Oreochromis niloticus: one gene and its partner. Each later gene encodes a partner of the first gene's protein in a complex. Links are inferred from orthologs where the notes say so. Each region holds a gene or a part of one and is shown in the gene's direction. Other genes may lie near its edges.

Region 1 (8,550 bases):
TCTTTAAAGATGACAGACATCATTATGCAGTCAAAGGAGGGAAGTTCCTCCATCTTAGGAACATTTTTATATATGAAAGTAAGAATACATAGGATTTTCATGGGTAACATGTCATTTGACACAAAGTCAATATAAAGCTGTAGCTCTGGAGTCGCTGCTTAAAAGGGTCCGCTTCTACCTCTGAGGCCAGATGCATTCAGAGTTGTTCTCTTTCAACAGGAAAAGTTCGGTTAGCAGTTGTCATCCTCCAGGATGTCTGGGTGCTCCTCCCAGAACTGCTCTCCTATAAGGTCACAATGGTAGGCCTCTACCCTCCTCCTGCTGCGTGTGACGGGCATGTCCTTTTCCTCCCCATTTGGCAGCTTTATGCGTTTAATGATAGTCTCATCTCGCTAGATAAGAGAAATGAGAAAATTGATTAAAAGCAGTAGATAAGCAATCAGTCCGGTACCTAAACCTGGTAAAATCATTTTGTGAGATTTGGTTTTGAGTGCATTTAAAAAAAAACCTCAGAGGAGCTGGTGCAGAGTGATGCAACCTAACTTAAATTTCTATGTAAGCAGCATTTCCTGCAGTTAGTGTCAGATCTACATCCGGTGCCACAGCAAGTAGCAGCCTGACACACTACACATTACAGTGAGCTATACTTTGTTATTTATGTATACATTTGATCCTATGAAAATCTCTTCTGTCCTTTTCTTTGTTTTTTTGTGTGAGTTTAAATTTCCCTTTCAGGGGCACAACCAATAAGCATCTAACTGTGTAAATAAATGTCCTATTAAACCAAGGGAATTCTACTATTACATGAAAAAGACATTTCTAAAAATGGTTTCTTGTGATGTTAGTGGCAGAACTCTTTTCTCTTACACTCCATCCACAATGTGAGGTCATGTGCAATAAAAAAGTGTATGCAGCTTCTGACATTTCTCTTTCATGCACAACAACAGAACTACCAATAAAGGGGAAAAAAGGCAGTGTGGTGATTTTAATGTTTCAATCTCAGACTTCACTGCTTTTAACAGGAAGAAACACAGACACCATTTGAAAAAGTGAGCCGTTAGTGTGCTTAAACATGCAAAAGCAACCACAGACTATATAAAATATGGTCACACCCATGACCCACTGGTTTGTGAACTACTGTTTTGAGTTTGGGAGAGAGGCATTCTGACTGGTGTTATAAATCCTGATCTGACTAGCGAGGGGTGGATGTGACTGAGAAGAAAACTGATGTTGCACTATACAATAGCAATATATCAATCACAAGGCAGCCATTCTAAAATGCATACCCTGCTTTAACATCTATTTCACTGCAAATTCGGGAATAACTTAAAAAAAAATAAAACAATGTGTTATGTTAAGGTAGGACTTTCAAAGTTTCAAAAGCTGCAACTTTTACTTTGAAGGCAAATCTTCCCCCTATCCAATTTGCGTCACACTTTCTCAAGTTATTACTGTTACGCTAGTAGTTAGCAAAAGCTTGTGGACAAACATGAAGAACTGCAGGCAACCTTGGAAACCTGCTAGCAACCAAAGCAATCACTATGAGCTTTTGGGTGCAGCATCTTCTTTGCAATATTTCACCAAGGAAGAACCAGCAACCTCCAGGTACTCCACTGCCAACCAGTAGAAGAATACACATTTTCCCCTACTGGTCCAATATGGCAGACAAATCTTAAGCAATGTCTACATGATGTGAATGAGAAACCTCAAAACAAGGGAATTGATTTATTCAAGCACAAGAGTTGATCCTGCTGGCTATTTTAAAGAATGCAGGTTTTTAGGATTTTTTTTTTTTTTTTTTTACCTTGGATTCAATTTCCAGACTACAACAAACTTCTATGTACAGGTTCTGACGTCACCTCAAACTGTTAAAAGGTTTTGCCCTAACTATTTTCACACAAAAAATTGTTGGTGCATTGCCGCAGGTGGAGCAATTCATCTGGTTAATTCCAACAACAAACTCTGACATATTAACTAGGTACTGAACCCCCATGCAGACTGACTCCAATTTCTTACAGGGACACGTGGTGTTCATGCACATTAGATTAAGCAATAACAGGTCTCATGCCATGAATGTCCAGGGCTGCACATGTACCGCACTGAGTGGATCAGCGTGTCCCTGCACTTCACTGAGAGGCATACCTAACCCGATGAATGGCGGTGGGCGGACTGATCAAAATATTAATAGTATTGATACAAATGCCTGTATTGATATTTGCGTGATAGGATTAATTCTTTGTTTCTATCCTTTGAGTTTAGTAGATAGCCCACTGAATAGGGGGATAGATTTAAAACCCTTCTTGAGCACCTCACCTTTTCCCAGATGAGGGTGGTACCTTTCTTGTGGACGGCAGATTCATTGTTGTAGTTGATACCAAATTCTGTGAAGAGGATCTCATTTTTATCCCCAGCCAATGTTCCCTGAAAAAGGCAGAAATACTGTGAGACATCCAAACTTAGGTGTGTAGATACACAATCCCTCACATGGTCTTTAGATAGTACAGTTTTATAAAAAGCTACAACAAAAGCATGACAGGAACACCACCGCCCACCAAACCGCTGGTTATATATAGTGGCTCTGTTCCTTTTACTTCAGAATTAAAACTAGAAGAAAATCAACAAGAAATAAATAGTAAACCACTCAGTCATTTTTTGTTATTATTTGTTGTTGTTATTATTACGTAGGAATTATGAACCATGAATGTTGGATGAGGTGTAAATAAATAACTCATGCTGCCTAAACATCCACCCAAAACCCATCAGCTGGTTCCAGACAGCCCCCACAAGAATGAGGTGATTTCCAGAGGACAGCTGTGTCAGTCTGTAGCAGCTGTCATAGCTAGTGACAGACCTGTTCCTGTACACACTATTTTAATGCACAGGAATAAATTGTTCATAATGACGTAGCTGAAAGCTTACATCTTTTAAATAACCTCTTTGTTTACTTGGATAAAATATCAAAAATAGTACCTTGAAACCTTATCGGCCCCTAAAGCCAAGTGTTGTTTAAGTATATAAGTGATATTATTAAATGAAGAAAATGTGTTTTGTTTTTAGACTGAAATTTGATAGATGAATTTTTACAATTAAGGCATTCTTAGCTAACGAATCAACCAATTTATTCATTTTCACAGTCCGGGTAGGTAAGCATATTTTGGTTTATTACTTTTTGCCAGGTCATCTAAGTTTGTGTTGATGGATAGCTCTACTTGTTTGTTATTTTGGTCTCGGCTCACTCATTTTATACTCTGATTTTTGGGAAATCTGTTGTTCAATAAATATAACACTAATACATAAATGAAAACTTGTTCTTATGGCTACTTGGGACTCGGGGGAAGGGGATGCCTTTTTCATATTGTGCCAACTAGGGGCTCATCGTCTGTTTCCTAGCTTCGTGGTGGTTTGGTGAGTTATTTGTTTCTGGTTGGCAGTTTTCTATCGTGTGTGGGGAAATAATGTTTTCCTTTTCCTAATAGTTTTGTGACCTCACCTTCCTTCTAGGAAAAAATAGGAAAATGTTAAAAGGGCAGATTTGCTTACTGTGGCTAATTGACAATATTCAATACCCTAAATTAACCTTTTAATTTACAAGTAATAGATATTACATAACTATATCAGCACCAGCCATCACTACCACTAGCTTGTTTCTGATGCTGTTTAGAAGTCCAGAGACTAGTAGTTGAAAAGCTTTATACCTACCATAACATATCTGTAGCCAGAAAGAAAAAAATCACTCAGTATGGCAATCAATTATCCTTTATATGGAACATTTTGAGAGTTGTGAGCATTCACTGTTGTTTTTTTCTGACACATGATCAGCTGATATGGATCTACAAAACATGCTGCTGGAATCTATTGGTAGGTAGAAGCCAGTGTGTCTTCATTTGGGACATGGTACACTTTGAATACTGTGTGGAAGACCTTGAGTATAAGTGACAGTCTTTAACATATCCATGCTTACAACCTTAAATATGTGGGCATTGCCACATATGGTACCTTTTTCAAACACTTATATCTGTTAATAAGCACTTGCATCTGCCAGTTTACACCCAAACATACATTAATCAACTGTGTTTCACCTTTAAGCGATCCTCTGCCTGTGTTGTGCTGAGTCCTTTTCGTTGCACTAACATCCAAAACAGTGTGTTGTACAAATTATTGATGTGACCTGAAAAAAACAGAAACACAAGTGACATATTTCCATCACACCAAATGTGTGATTTACCATTCAGAGCATCATTTGCACTTACAGTCTGCCTGCCTCCAGCTAAGGTAGTCTCTAAGGTTACGATTGCTTGGATATAGGACCACACGTCCGTCAAATCCCGGAGGGTACAGGAGGGGCTGATTCTCAAAAAACTCCTTCCAGTAAAACACGTACGAGGAGGAGAACTGGGAGGCGACGTGGGTCATGAGCTTACTGTAAGGAAAAGAGGGGACAAAATATAGTCAGACAAAATGCTAGAGGAGGTCTGTGTGAAAATGTTGTTGATCAACATTATGTAAAACATCAGCACCTGGCTCTTCTTTTGAACCAGGTAGAAGATCGCTTGAAAACAAAGCTGAACTCATCACTTTGGCCATAGGCAATGACAATGTCCTCCAGTTCTTCCATGACAGAGCGTGCGCTCTTTCTCATCAGCCCCAAGGCCCTGTCGTCATTGGGCTTTGCAAACTTGTGCTGCTCTGCAAACCTGAAACACATAATGCATGAAGACGCCAAAACAACAATGTGGATTCAAAAAGCTCCCGGTGTTTTAGCGCAAATGAAGAATACTCACTTGTGAAAATTGCGACCATCCAGTCTCACGACAATGTAGCAGTTCCGCAGACAGGTGTCATCTGCTTCGAAGTTGCGCACATACTCAAACTTACTTTTGGCCATGTTACTGGATCTGGAGAAAAGACGGACCGAAGGTGTAAGAGCACAGCACCAAACACCAAATCTGCTCGCTGTACTAATTAGCATTGGGATGCTCCTGAAGACAAAGCACAAGGAGCGAAAATTATATGTCAACAGTGGGAAAATATTCAGTCAAACGGAGAACAATTACTATGATATACAAAACTAAATTCAATAACTTCAAATGATGTTAAGTGTTATGATTAAAATGATCTGTGTTATACGTATGTCAGTTCTCTATTTATTGAACTTTACTTACTATTTACGAATGAATGTCATGTGTGGTGTTAGCCTTCTACACAGACAGCTAACCTTTTGAAAGCCCTTCGATAGCTACGTGGTAAATTGCACCAACAGCAATATTCGAATTGAATAAGTTAATATCTAAACTAAATATATCTAAATAATAAGAATAATTCTCTTCCGCACATTCAAACACGTTGGTTTGTATACAGTCCGCCCAGAAATTGTGTCGTAGCGGAACCACAATCACCCGGAACACAAATTTTCGGAGCTACGGTAGACTTAAAATAAAACGCAAATAATTTCCGGTTTCTTCTAGCCACCTTAAAAATAATGCTTCAATTTTCAAATTTTTTTGGATGCTGTGCTGAATAATTTTTTAAAGATTTTTAAAGATTTTACGAAAGTAATTTGCTTTCTAGCGCCATCTTGTGCCTAAACAGAAACTAAACTAGATACTGTACATATACGAGGTTATGGGACTTGTAGTCCAGTTGCTAAACACGACAAAAAATACCCAGAATTCCTCGCTTTATACACTTCTGCGGTTGTTTTGAACATGGAGGAGAGGGAAAAAAGAAGTGTAAATTCAGACAGTAAGGAGACGTTGTCAGCACCCTGCTCCAGCCCGGCCTCAGCGCCGGAGGCTGATAGTAAAGCTGAGGACGGTGGCGCAGTTAAACTGGACGTCTGCTCGGATAAGTTTGATCCACTCTTGGCCTTGTACTCACCGGCAGTGCAGCTTCCCTTCCCAAACATCAAGTGCTTCAACAACGTGGCCGAGTACGAGAGCTTTCTGAAGGGCGGCCGCGGGAGAGCCAAACCGGAGAACGTGGAGAAAAGGCAGCGTAAGGCGATGAAAGGCGTGGTGGACCTGGAGCGCATCGAGAGGCTGAAGAAACTCATGGTGAACAACCCGGTGTCTGAGTCAGAGGAGGGAGAAAGCAGCAGCGGCACGACGCGGAGGAAGAGGAGGCAGAAACCTGTGAAAAATGTCCTGACGAGAATGCCCCGTAGGTTCAACACCCATCGTGTAATGTGTTGGAGACCTAGTCCCGCCTGGGCCGTTTCACTGAGCCGCTTTAAACTTTAAAGGAGAGCCTAGAATACGACATTTGTATTTATTAGAATACACTACGAACTGACAGACTACTCCAAATAAACTGACAAATAAAATAAAATGTCCCAGTAAAATAGGACTACTGGAGTAATAAAGAGGCAGAATGGCTTCAGTATTGGTTGTTAGGTTCCTACCTGTGGCTTACGAATACCCTTAACCCCTTTGCCCCCAATAAAATGAAAACCACATTACAACATTACACACACACACACACATACATATGTGTGTGTGTGTGTATGTATATATATATATATATATATATATATATATATATATATATATATATATATATATATGTATATTCATTTTAAAATTATTTTTATTCATAATTTTAGCATTACTTGTTACTTTAAAGAAACCTCTGTTTTAGCTGAATTCCCTGTATCATTTATTATAATACGCAGAAGCAGCTGTGCGACCTGCTTGTCTTGTGTTTTCAGTGTGTAAAGGCAGTCCTCTGGGGGAGCTGTACCGCTGCGTGGAGGAGAGGATAAGAGTCAAAGTTCACGTCAGGACTTTCAAAGGTCTGAGGGGAGTGTGCGCTGGCTTTGTCGTGGCCTTCGACAAGTTCTGGAACCTGGTCAGTGATCTCATGTTGTATTCTTGAACTAGGCAAATTTCGTATCTTCACCGTTGGTTATCTCTCGCTGACAGGCGATGGTGGATGTGGATGAAACTTACAGAGAGCCTCTGTTTGGAGAGGCTTTCTATCATGAGAAAGCCCTCACCACTACACGGGTAATGGATGAGTTTTCATTCTATATATGACTAAAATTTTGTCCTTCAATTTTCTAAGGAAAGCTAGAAACATTTAGAAGTTTCTAATGACTACTTCATAATAAAAGCTATCTGTGCTTTGCTGATTAAATGCTTACAAGTGAGCTGACAGTAGTATTGCTGGCTTAAATTGTAAAGGTCTTTTTACATTTATCCCTCTTTAGCTCTTACACAGCACTCGGAGCGCTTTTATGTGGTTCAGTTTGATGAAAGTCTTAAGAATGATCAAATCTTTGTATTTCCAGCTTTTTGAGAAGCTAAGTCTCCAGGAAACCTCTGAATGTGCTGAGTCGGTGAAGAAGCAGCCTGCAGATTCTCCCAAAGAGACTCCAGAAAGTTCTGGAGTCTCTTTGGCAAGTTCTCATGCCGTTGGTGTGAGAGGAGACGGCAGGACAGCAGACTCCAAGCTGTCAGAAGCTGCTGAAACCGAAAAGGACGCACACAAAACACTGCTCATGGTCCAGAGTCCACAGACTCGCCAGAAGAAAGAAACCAAGACGTATGGTAAGGTCCATACGCGCCACATCAACCAGCTGTTCATCCGTGGTGAGAATGTCATCCTGGTTAACCCCCAGCCGCTCTGATTTTCACTCTTACATTGATCCCGGGCAACAAAGCAGGGGTTTTTTGGAGCATCTGCGCTAACTGGTACTGACAAATTATAGCAATTCAGAAGGATCGCAGACTGATGATTTATATCATATTGATATGGAGGTTTGTCTCTGCCCACCAGAGAAATGATTTTGCTTTTGATAAATAAAAGCGTTCCAGTTGTAATTACAGAAAAGTGTGTTTGTGTGTGTTTTGTTTTTGCCTGTTTAGTTTATTTGACACCCTGTAAAGGAAACCCAGTGAAATGCCTGTCTCCCAGCAGGTGGCACCATAAACACACCAGAGCCATCGAACACGCCATTGTCATCTCAAAGAGCTTGTCCCTTTATGTTGCATTTCCCCGCTAGTTTGAATGGGAATGACAGTGCAGTCTCAGCGGACTTCATAAATGCATTATGAATAATTGAGTTTGTGAAGCTCGAGATTGCAGATGGCACTCAAAAGCTGTCATTTGTCTTGACGTCTTAGATTGCTTTTACTCTTTAATGGGCACATTACCCATAAAAGCACGATTTACTGCATCTCTTAGAAGTTGTAAAGATGTTGCTTTTTTTTTTTCCTTTTTAAATGACAGAGGTTAGTTTTGGATGATGAGTGGCACAGAACGACCGTCGCTGCAATGTTTCTGGGTCTGCGTCAGATTTCTTTCTGCATTTCAGCTTCTCTTAATTTGTTTAGAGACTGACCCTCTTTCCATATATTTTATGTCATAAGTGGGGCATGTTCTATGAGTAAGGTGAGCTTTTATTCATTTACTGTATATAACGTTACTTTTCATATAATGTATCAGAATATTATTAGTGTAGCCCATTTAAAAGGCCTCTCCAGAGAGGAAAAAAATGGGGTCAATTGTTTAATGCAAGCTGTGTTTGTCACAAAAGTGTGTTCCAACAAT
Region 2 (8,204 bases), on another chromosome or scaffold:
AAAATAAGCACAAAAAAGACCAAAATATAAACTTTGTTTGTCTTTGTTGAATCAGAAAAGCACCTCCTGTCACTGTACCACGTATCCCTTTACTTCTACAATGTGATATTTTTACATGAGTGCTGATTAAAAGCATGTGCTGTATGCATCATTCATGCAAACTAATACACACTTTATTAATGTCTTTAGACAGTCTGCCATTGTTTGTCAGATTCTCAGTGTCTTTATCACATATTTGATTCTAATTCAAGTTTAGACATTATAAGCAGAATGAATTTCTACTGTCAATGTTTATACACTGAGCCTGGTTTCACATCTGCCACTTCATTAACGGCACTAGATGTGGCCTGGTGGTCTGATGCAGCTCTGAAGTCACCGCCAAAAGGCTGACCTATCCCAACTTTCAATTTTCTTAAAAAAATGTGTCCACAATCCAGAGTGTCGCCATCTGTTTCCTGTTTTCAAAGGATATTTGACTGTCGCGGCAGAGAAGTGAGACGAAGGGAGTTCCCCTCTGGAGGGAGTTACACCAGCTCCATCAGAGAGGGGTCTTTCGAGCTGCATGGAAACAGAGTGATCAGACTGGGCATGAACATGTATGTAAATATGCTGCTGGACACTAGATGGTGAACACACACACTGATGAACCTGTGGGTGACACTGCTGTGTTTCGTGACTTAAAGGTACACTGTGGACCATCCAGAGGAGACACACACGTCCAGGGCTCCCTCTGTAAAGGTAATAACATGTCAGGGAGGTCACGGATTTCATTTTACAGTTATGGTTGGTGATATATAAAATATAACTTAATATTTTCCTGAACTACACCTGAGCTCTTGCTGTTGTGAAACCATGAAATGATGTTTAAGCAATAATAGCAAATCATATCATGTGGAGTTTTTTTCCTACAAGGTGATATTTACTTTTGATAGTGGTGTTTAAAGGATGCTCAGGTGGCGCCAAGGGGCTCAAAGTGTGCTGAGAAAAATATCCACCGCGCGGTTGCACCACTTTCACACACACACTTTTCCACTAGTATCTAGTACTGTCCGCTAACCTGATGCTTCCTAGTGTTTTTTGGAGACAGAAGTGACCATTTTTGGATCAGATGGTGGGGCACCAAGTTAGCTAAGGTTATCTAGCTGCAGCAATAAACCCAAAAAACAGACGTATACGTGATATATCAATATATTATTATATGTTATTTACACCAAAGGAACCCAACATACATTTGTTATGGAGTGGGAAACTGTCCATGTGCCTCCAAATCACTTTTTATACCAGGCTGTGAACATGCATTTAAATGCTGTAAATTTGGATATTTTTTAATGGAGGTCTGCAGGGATTCACTCATTTTTGCAGCTTGCCTCAAGTGGCCACTCAAGGAACTTTAGTTTGTTTTGTATTTCTGTGTTGGCTTTGTATATTAGCTCCAGAAATTCCTGCTTGCCTGGACATTGATGCACAGTAAATGCTGGTAAATGCTGTTATGGCAGTGGCCCGTTCCCTGTGGTTTGCACATGCTGTTCTTTATTGACACACTTTTTGCAAATACACTTAAACTCACCTCACTTGCCCCGCTGTTCAAAACGTCTCACTGCTGTAGGCTCATCATTGTGTGTCTGTCTACAGCCTCACACCTTCTATAAAAGAAGAGCTTAATTGGGTGTGTAAGACAGGTGTGCCCAAACCACACTACTGTGGTTTCCTGTCTTCTTCAGCTGAGCCAGGAAACCACACCTCAGTGCTACTGTTGTACAAAGAGAAGATGGCAATCAGATTAATGAAGTCAAAAATAATAAATAATAGTGTTTCTCAGTAACTGTGAATGTTTGTGTCTGTTTATACTATCACCATGTCAACATTAAACGGCTGGTTAGACAGCGTAATGTTTAATTAGTCAATATTAACATTAATAATGTTTGAAACCTTGCTAAGTTGTAATAGAGCATTTTATGCAAAGTAATAAAACTCAGCTATGCAGCACCACCAGCGCATTTATCCTTCCCCTGATAGTAAGAGCTCAGATGTGCCCCCTTAAGCAGAAATACATCTTGTATACATGCAAAACTTCTTCAGTTTTGCATGTATACTTGTATACAAGTATACATGAAAAAGTATTTGCTCCTTTCCTGAACCATTATCCACAAATAGAGAAAACTTGGAACAGTTGTGAAACTTCCCAGGAGCGCATTAATTGCAAAAGGACTCCAGAACCACATCTAAAGAACTGCAGGGCTCGCTTGTTTCAGAGTGGACCAAACTGGCATCCATGAGAGAAAAAAAAAAACGCTGACCAAAAAGAACACGCAGGCTCTTCTCACATTTGCCAAAAACATCTTGATAATGAGAAAGAAGCTGAAATTTTTTTAAGGTTTGCATGCCGTTACATCTGGTGTAAAACTAACAGCATTTTATTAAAAGGAACATCATGCCAACAGTCAGACATGGTGGTGGTAGCGTGATGGTCTGAGGGAGCTTTGCTGGATGATTTGCCAAAACTGGTGGAACCGTGAATTCTGATTTCTACAAAAAAAACCTGAAGGAGACTCTCCAGCTATCATTTCTTGCCCTGAACCTTAAACAGGCTGTTCTTTCTTGAAAATCCTCCAGTTCGGCTGAATTAAAAACATCTCTGTAAGGAGGAAGATTGGGCCAAAATTCCTCCACAGGGACGTGAAAGAGTCATTTTCAATCAAACGCTTGATTGTAGTTCTTGCTGCCAACAGAGGTGCCACCAGTTATTGGGTTTAGGGGGAATTTTCAGAGGGCCAGGTAGCATTGGAGAATGTTTTTCCATTAATAAATTATATAATTTAAAAACTGCATCTTGTATTTAGTCTGGTTCTCTTTCTCTATTATTAAAATTTGTTTGATGACCTGAAACATATAAGTATAGTAATTATAAAAAAAGATCAGAAAGGGGGGAAATACTTTTTTCACAGCTCTGTTATAACCTGCCTCTGCACCTCCATCGTGCTGCAGACAGACGGCTCTCCCAACCCGCTGGCGAAGGAGGAGCTGAACCTGCTGGCTCGTCTAATGGGCAGCATGAAGACGGAGAACAAGCCCAAAGATGAATCGGGTTTTCGAATCAACCTGTTTAACACAGACGAGGAGGAGGAGGAAGCGTGGGTGTTCTTCTTTTCTATTTTCATTCCCTGTTGTTACATTAACATAAATTCCCTCATCAAGGCCTTTTTATCTTGTTTCACAGAGGAGCGTCAGCTAGTGCTGAGGAATCCTTGTATGGAGTGATAAATATTCAAGCAATGCAGGTACGATCATGCAGACTGTGCTGGGGTATTTCAGTGAACTAAAACTAAACCACAGTCAAGAAAACAGTTTAGTTTGACTTAAAAAAAGGCAACTGCTGAGCACGTGAACAAACCTAACAATATAAACAGAAAATCTGGCAAAAAAAGTGTGTTAGTGTGAGTGTCTGGCTACTCTCTGGACTGTTGTTATGGCTGCCATGTCTCTCTTAAAACATCTGTGATGAACTTAATCCAAGTTTTTGGTTCAGGATGAGCAGGCGGCATTGGAGTTGGCTCGCATCGCTGGACAGTTTGCAGAAGAAAAAGAAGAGAAACCTGAAAAACCCAGCAACAACAAGGGAGAAGAGCTCCTGGCCATGATGGACGACCTCTGACTCATTTATTCAGTCTGTGGTTGTATGATGATCGGATGGTTAATCTCCACTGTGAGCTGGAGATGGAGTATTCAATGAAACAGATGCAAGAACTCAACATTATAACACAGACACAATAGACAGAAACTGCTTTCTATGTTTATAATGCAGCTGAACTGACTTGGATGTTAAACTGTAACACCTGCTGTGTTTGAGGTTTTATTTTCTTTTTAACAATTTAATGTTAAATAAAAGTATTTATTTATATTGAAATGATTAGGCTGGCTCGTGTTTACATGCTGTAAAACAAAATGAGTTGCAAATGTTGCTGGGAAGAAATTAAATGAAAAGGATTGATCAAATTTTTAAATAAGACATCTAATTGGACACGACCTTGGACTCATATTTATGTGATTTTTGAGAGGAACAAGTACTAATTTAAATAACCTATAAATTATTATTTGGATAATGAAAATAAATGTTCATTGAGACGATTTCGTTTCTGCAGCAGCAACCTGTAGGGGGTGCTGTTGTCTTGGCTTTGTAAGAAAAGAACAATCTCATGAAGGTTTCTTTGATTCGGAGCCTTTGCTCTTTGTTTATCCGGCTTTTTATTTATTTATTTTTTAATACTTATATTTTAAATATGACAACTAGTACTGTATGAATCCAATAAGGTGCAGTGAATTACAAAAAGGGAACAGAGCAGTGAGTATAAACGTTCATGTTGGCATAAGATCATTGAGCATCATCCTTTCAGCAAGGTGTACTATTAAATAAAAGAGTCATACACGCATACAATGGCAATGGTGGGAAAAACAGTTTAGAATATCGTATGATTTTTCCTTTAAGTAGTTTTGAAGATTTTATGTATAACTTGAATTTATCCAAAAACAAAACAAACAAAAACACCAATTTAAACACATTTAAGATTAACATTTTTAATGTATTTGTTTTGTGTGGGTTTATATGGGGAATTTTATGATGTTCTAAATCTGTCAGTAGAATTTTCGCTTAATTAATAAAATTTTACACTCCAGCGAGCAAATTTGTTAATATATACTTTGCTGAAAAAAAATCCAGCATATATGTGAAAAATAATGTTGCTGTGATGACGCAGGGAAACCTGTTGTCGGGTTCCTCATTTATGTCCTGGATTACACTGTATTAAAGCTAGTTGTGAATAAAGTTTTTTTTTTGTTTTTTTTTCTAAACGGTTGACGCAAAGACGATGGTGAAACGTCATCACGTCGCTGCTCCTCCGTCGGGTTTTTGTGGGAAAACGAACCTGTTGACATGTTTTGAGAGGTTTCTGCAGGCCGGTGTTTCGTTTCCACATAAAAACTGTGTTTAAATAATTCAGGTAAATGTTACAGACAACAGCGGAGGGAGAAGCTTTGATTTACACTCATGTTTTACGCATTTTGGAGCTTTATTTAGTCGCTGCTAAAGCTAAGGAAACGCTAAAAAAGAAAAGCTAACAGAGAAGACTAACTTTAAGCCTGCAGACACAAACGTAAGCGTCATGTTACACGTGTTTTTAGGTTTTCTGTAGGTTAAGTTAAAGTTAAGATTACACTGCACTATATGACACTATATCTTCTGTATTATCATTTGTATTCGGTTGTAATGTGCATATTCTGGGGTTAATTTGAAAGCCAAACATGAAAGTGTTTTTGGACCATTAAAGAAAATGCGGTAAAGAGGTATGATAGTCACAAGAAGCAAAACAGACTACGTGTGTCTGAATGAGAAGCTGATGTGACAGTGAGGCAGGAGGGGGCTGACGTGGGTTGGATATGTGCAGAGGAGGGATGGTGGCTATATTGGACAAAAGATGCTGAATATGGAGCTGCCAGGCAGGCGGAAAAGTGGAAGACCTCAAAGGATTCATGTGGTGAAGGAGGACATGCTGATAGTTGGTGGTGACGGGGATAGGATTAGATGAAGGCAGGTTAGCAGTGATAGTGAGCTGCTGAAAAAAAGGAGAAGTAGTAGTTGTTTTGACAATTAGGATTACCATTAATTGTCTTTACGTCAGGTTAGCTCGTATTGATCCCGATTTTTAATAAGTGACAGAGGGATAAAATTATTTTGTTTTTTCCTCAGAACTTGTAACAGTTTCCAGAGTTACATTGGATCATCTCTCCAGCAGATAAAGAAAATAAGACTGGAAACATTTAATCTCACTTCATTCTTTTTATGTGTTTTTTTGTGAGCTCCATTAAAAAAAAATGCAGTAAGAAAGTATCTAAGACAGCCTTTTTGTGGTCCCTACATTGCAGTTTCAGTAGAGCCCCATTAACCGCCTAAGAGGCTCTAACGTCAATGCAGTCAGATTGTCTGGGCATGCTGCTCTTTTCCTAAGTCCTTAGAAATTCTTCTTCCTTGACCTTATTTTCAATCAGAGAAGTGATTAAGAAAAGATGGAGGGAGGGAATTTTTTTTAACAATTTGACCACAGCCTCTGAGTCGTCTGACCTTTATTAAATCCAGGTTTGGTTTGTGACATATGAGATAAATCGCATTTAAGCTGTGCAGGACATTTTCTATTTGACATGTTCCTGTGTTTTCTCATTTTCGGATTCTAATATTCTGTCCACAAAGTGTGCAAGTTTTTGCTCATTTTTGCTTTATTGCTTCAAGGTCAGAATCAGTAAACCACAGAAACAAGTCTCAGGTACCAACACTGTATGACAGACTCTAATCCAAAGTTATCAATCTTCTGCTTTTCTGCAGGTGTCTATGGATCCTATGGAGTCCAAGGGGGCTGAGTCTCAGCCATCCACCGTGGGGCCGGTTGAGGTGGTGAACTCTATTCGGGAGCGAACAATCACAGAGAACAGCATGGTGATCCTCCTGCAGGGCCTTCAGGGAGAGGTGACCACAGTGGACCTGAGGAACGAGAGCACAGCCCGTGGACGCGTGGTCAACGTAGATGCCTTCATGAACATACGCCTAGAGGACGTGTTGTACCGGGACCGGCGGGGTCAGCTCACACAGCTGCAGGACCTATTCATCACTGGCAGGAACATCCGCTATGTCCACATCCCCGACCATATGGACATAATGAAGACCATAGAGAGCCAGCTGGCCAAGATTCACCGCGTACGCAACTTCGGCAGTGAAGGCGGAGGCAGGAAAGAGTTTGCCAAGAAAACAAAATGACTTTTTTTTTTTTTTAAATTTGGAAAAGACGCTGCTTGTGTAAGGTTCAGAGATTAGAGGACAAACACCAGTCTAGACCAGTAGTTTACATCTTGAGGGCCCACAAAGTGACTCCAGGGAGAAGAACAGGGAGAGAGATCTCAGGTACAGTAAGACATAGTTACAGTCCTCCTTTTCGTTGTAAAATACTGGAAACTGTCTTTAGTGCTATAAAAACTGAACTGCTTCGAACCTGGGATGAAAGACCACAATCTGGGTTTGATTTCTTGTAAGGATCACAAACTCGAAAGGCTGGAGTATTTGGAGGCTGATATCAGTAAATTGTTTAAATGTTTAAAAATAAAACTCCACAGACTGATTTTTTTCCTACGTAAACACTGTAACAATTCTTTTTAATACATTGCGGATTATTTCTTGGATTAATTGATGCATTTTCCTTGAATCAACTCAAAGAAGCTCTTTGTTATGTCTTTTTTTATCTCAACCAAACTATTTTGGGGGATTTTTAAATGAGACATGATGAAAATGGTAAAAAAAACAAAAAAAACAAACATCAAATCCATCTGAAAATAAAGTGAAATCTTTTTGAATATAATTATAACAACTAAGGTATAGATCCTCTTTTGCACAAAGGGTTTAACTTAAATGACGCCACAGCTTCTCTCATATTTTGCTGACTTAGAAACAGTGAAGAGCACTGTTTCTGCATTCTCTATGCTTATTCTCTTAAGCATAGAGAATACCATAAAGCAGTCACTTTTTGTGCCTTTTAAGGTGCACCTCCTCATATTTGTACTAAATAGCAAAAATACAGAATATCATACATTTCTCCTAATTTTTATAGTATTTTCTACACCTCATTTGCAGAATCTGGACACCTACATTTTTTGGTGTGTTCCCACTTTATTGTGACACTTTCCTGCAGCCTAACAACAATCTTCCTGTCTCTGGTTCTGAGCGTAGACTGTATATAGAAGGTGGATGTAGCTATTATAACACCAGTGAGATACAGCTGCCTGTGACACACCTGTCAATGCAAGCAGCCATGCTTTTAACTCACTAGACAGATCAGCTAAAACAAAGGTCACTTCCACACTGTTGTTATAAAGGAGGAAATTTAAACATGGGGGTGTTATGAGATTTGACTCGCTTTTGGAGCAACTAGAGGCTCCATTTTTCCACTGCCGGAGGTTGCAGCTTGTTTATTTTGGCCCCCTACTTCTTTTTTTTAAGTAGGTTTCCCTTTAGCGGGATTTAAGCATTAGTTAACTTCTCCCACAGTTGTGGTTTGCTCCCCACAACAAAATGACTCAACTTATTAACCTCCTCACTGTCATTCTGAGCCTTTTGATGTGTCACTCTCTAATAACTCCCTCCAGCCAGCAACTTAATTAACTATCCAGTC

What was found.
Region 2: lsm11 (region 1) and lsm10 share a complex: the UniProt entries of both Homo sapiens proteins name them as parts of the heptameric ring U7 snRNP complex. The link is inferred for Oreochromis niloticus from reciprocal best matches to the Homo sapiens genes LSM11 and LSM10.

What each region holds. Positions count from the first base shown.
Region 1 is NC_031966.2:29,730,517-29,739,066, forward strand, and holds lsm11 (U7 snRNA-associated Sm-like protein LSm11), read left to right. Parts: upstream 1-5,632; 5' UTR 5,633-5,705; coding exon 5,706-6,159; intron 6,160-6,706; coding exon 6,707-6,846; intron 6,847-6,920; coding exon 6,921-7,004; intron 7,005-7,288; coding exon 7,289-7,627; 3' UTR 7,628-7,830; downstream 7,831-8,550. Other genes in the region: thg1l (putative tRNA(His) guanylyltransferase), read right to left, coding at 231-392, 2,314-2,421, 4,080-4,168, 4,251-4,420, 4,518-4,694, 4,782-4,969. UniProt on the Homo sapiens protein: Component of the U7 snRNP complex that is involved in the histone 3'-end pre-mRNA processing. Increases U7 snRNA levels but not histone 3'-end pre-mRNA processing activity, when overexpressed. Required for cell cycle progression from G1 to S phases.
Region 2 is NC_031985.2:13,743,022-13,751,225, forward strand, and holds lsm10 (U7 snRNA-associated Sm-like protein LSm10), read left to right. Parts: upstream 1-4,853; 5' UTR 4,854-5,147; intron 5,148-6,370; 5' UTR 6,371-6,376; coding exon 6,377-6,799; 3' UTR 6,800-7,986; downstream 7,987-8,204. Other genes in the region: protein OSCP1a, read left to right, coding at 468-596, 684-738, 2,986-3,131, 3,218-3,278, 3,527-3,652. UniProt on the Homo sapiens protein: Appears to function in the U7 snRNP complex that is involved in histone 3'-end processing. Increases U7 snRNA levels but not histone 3'-end pre-mRNA processing activity, when overexpressed. Required for cell cycle progression from G1 to S phases.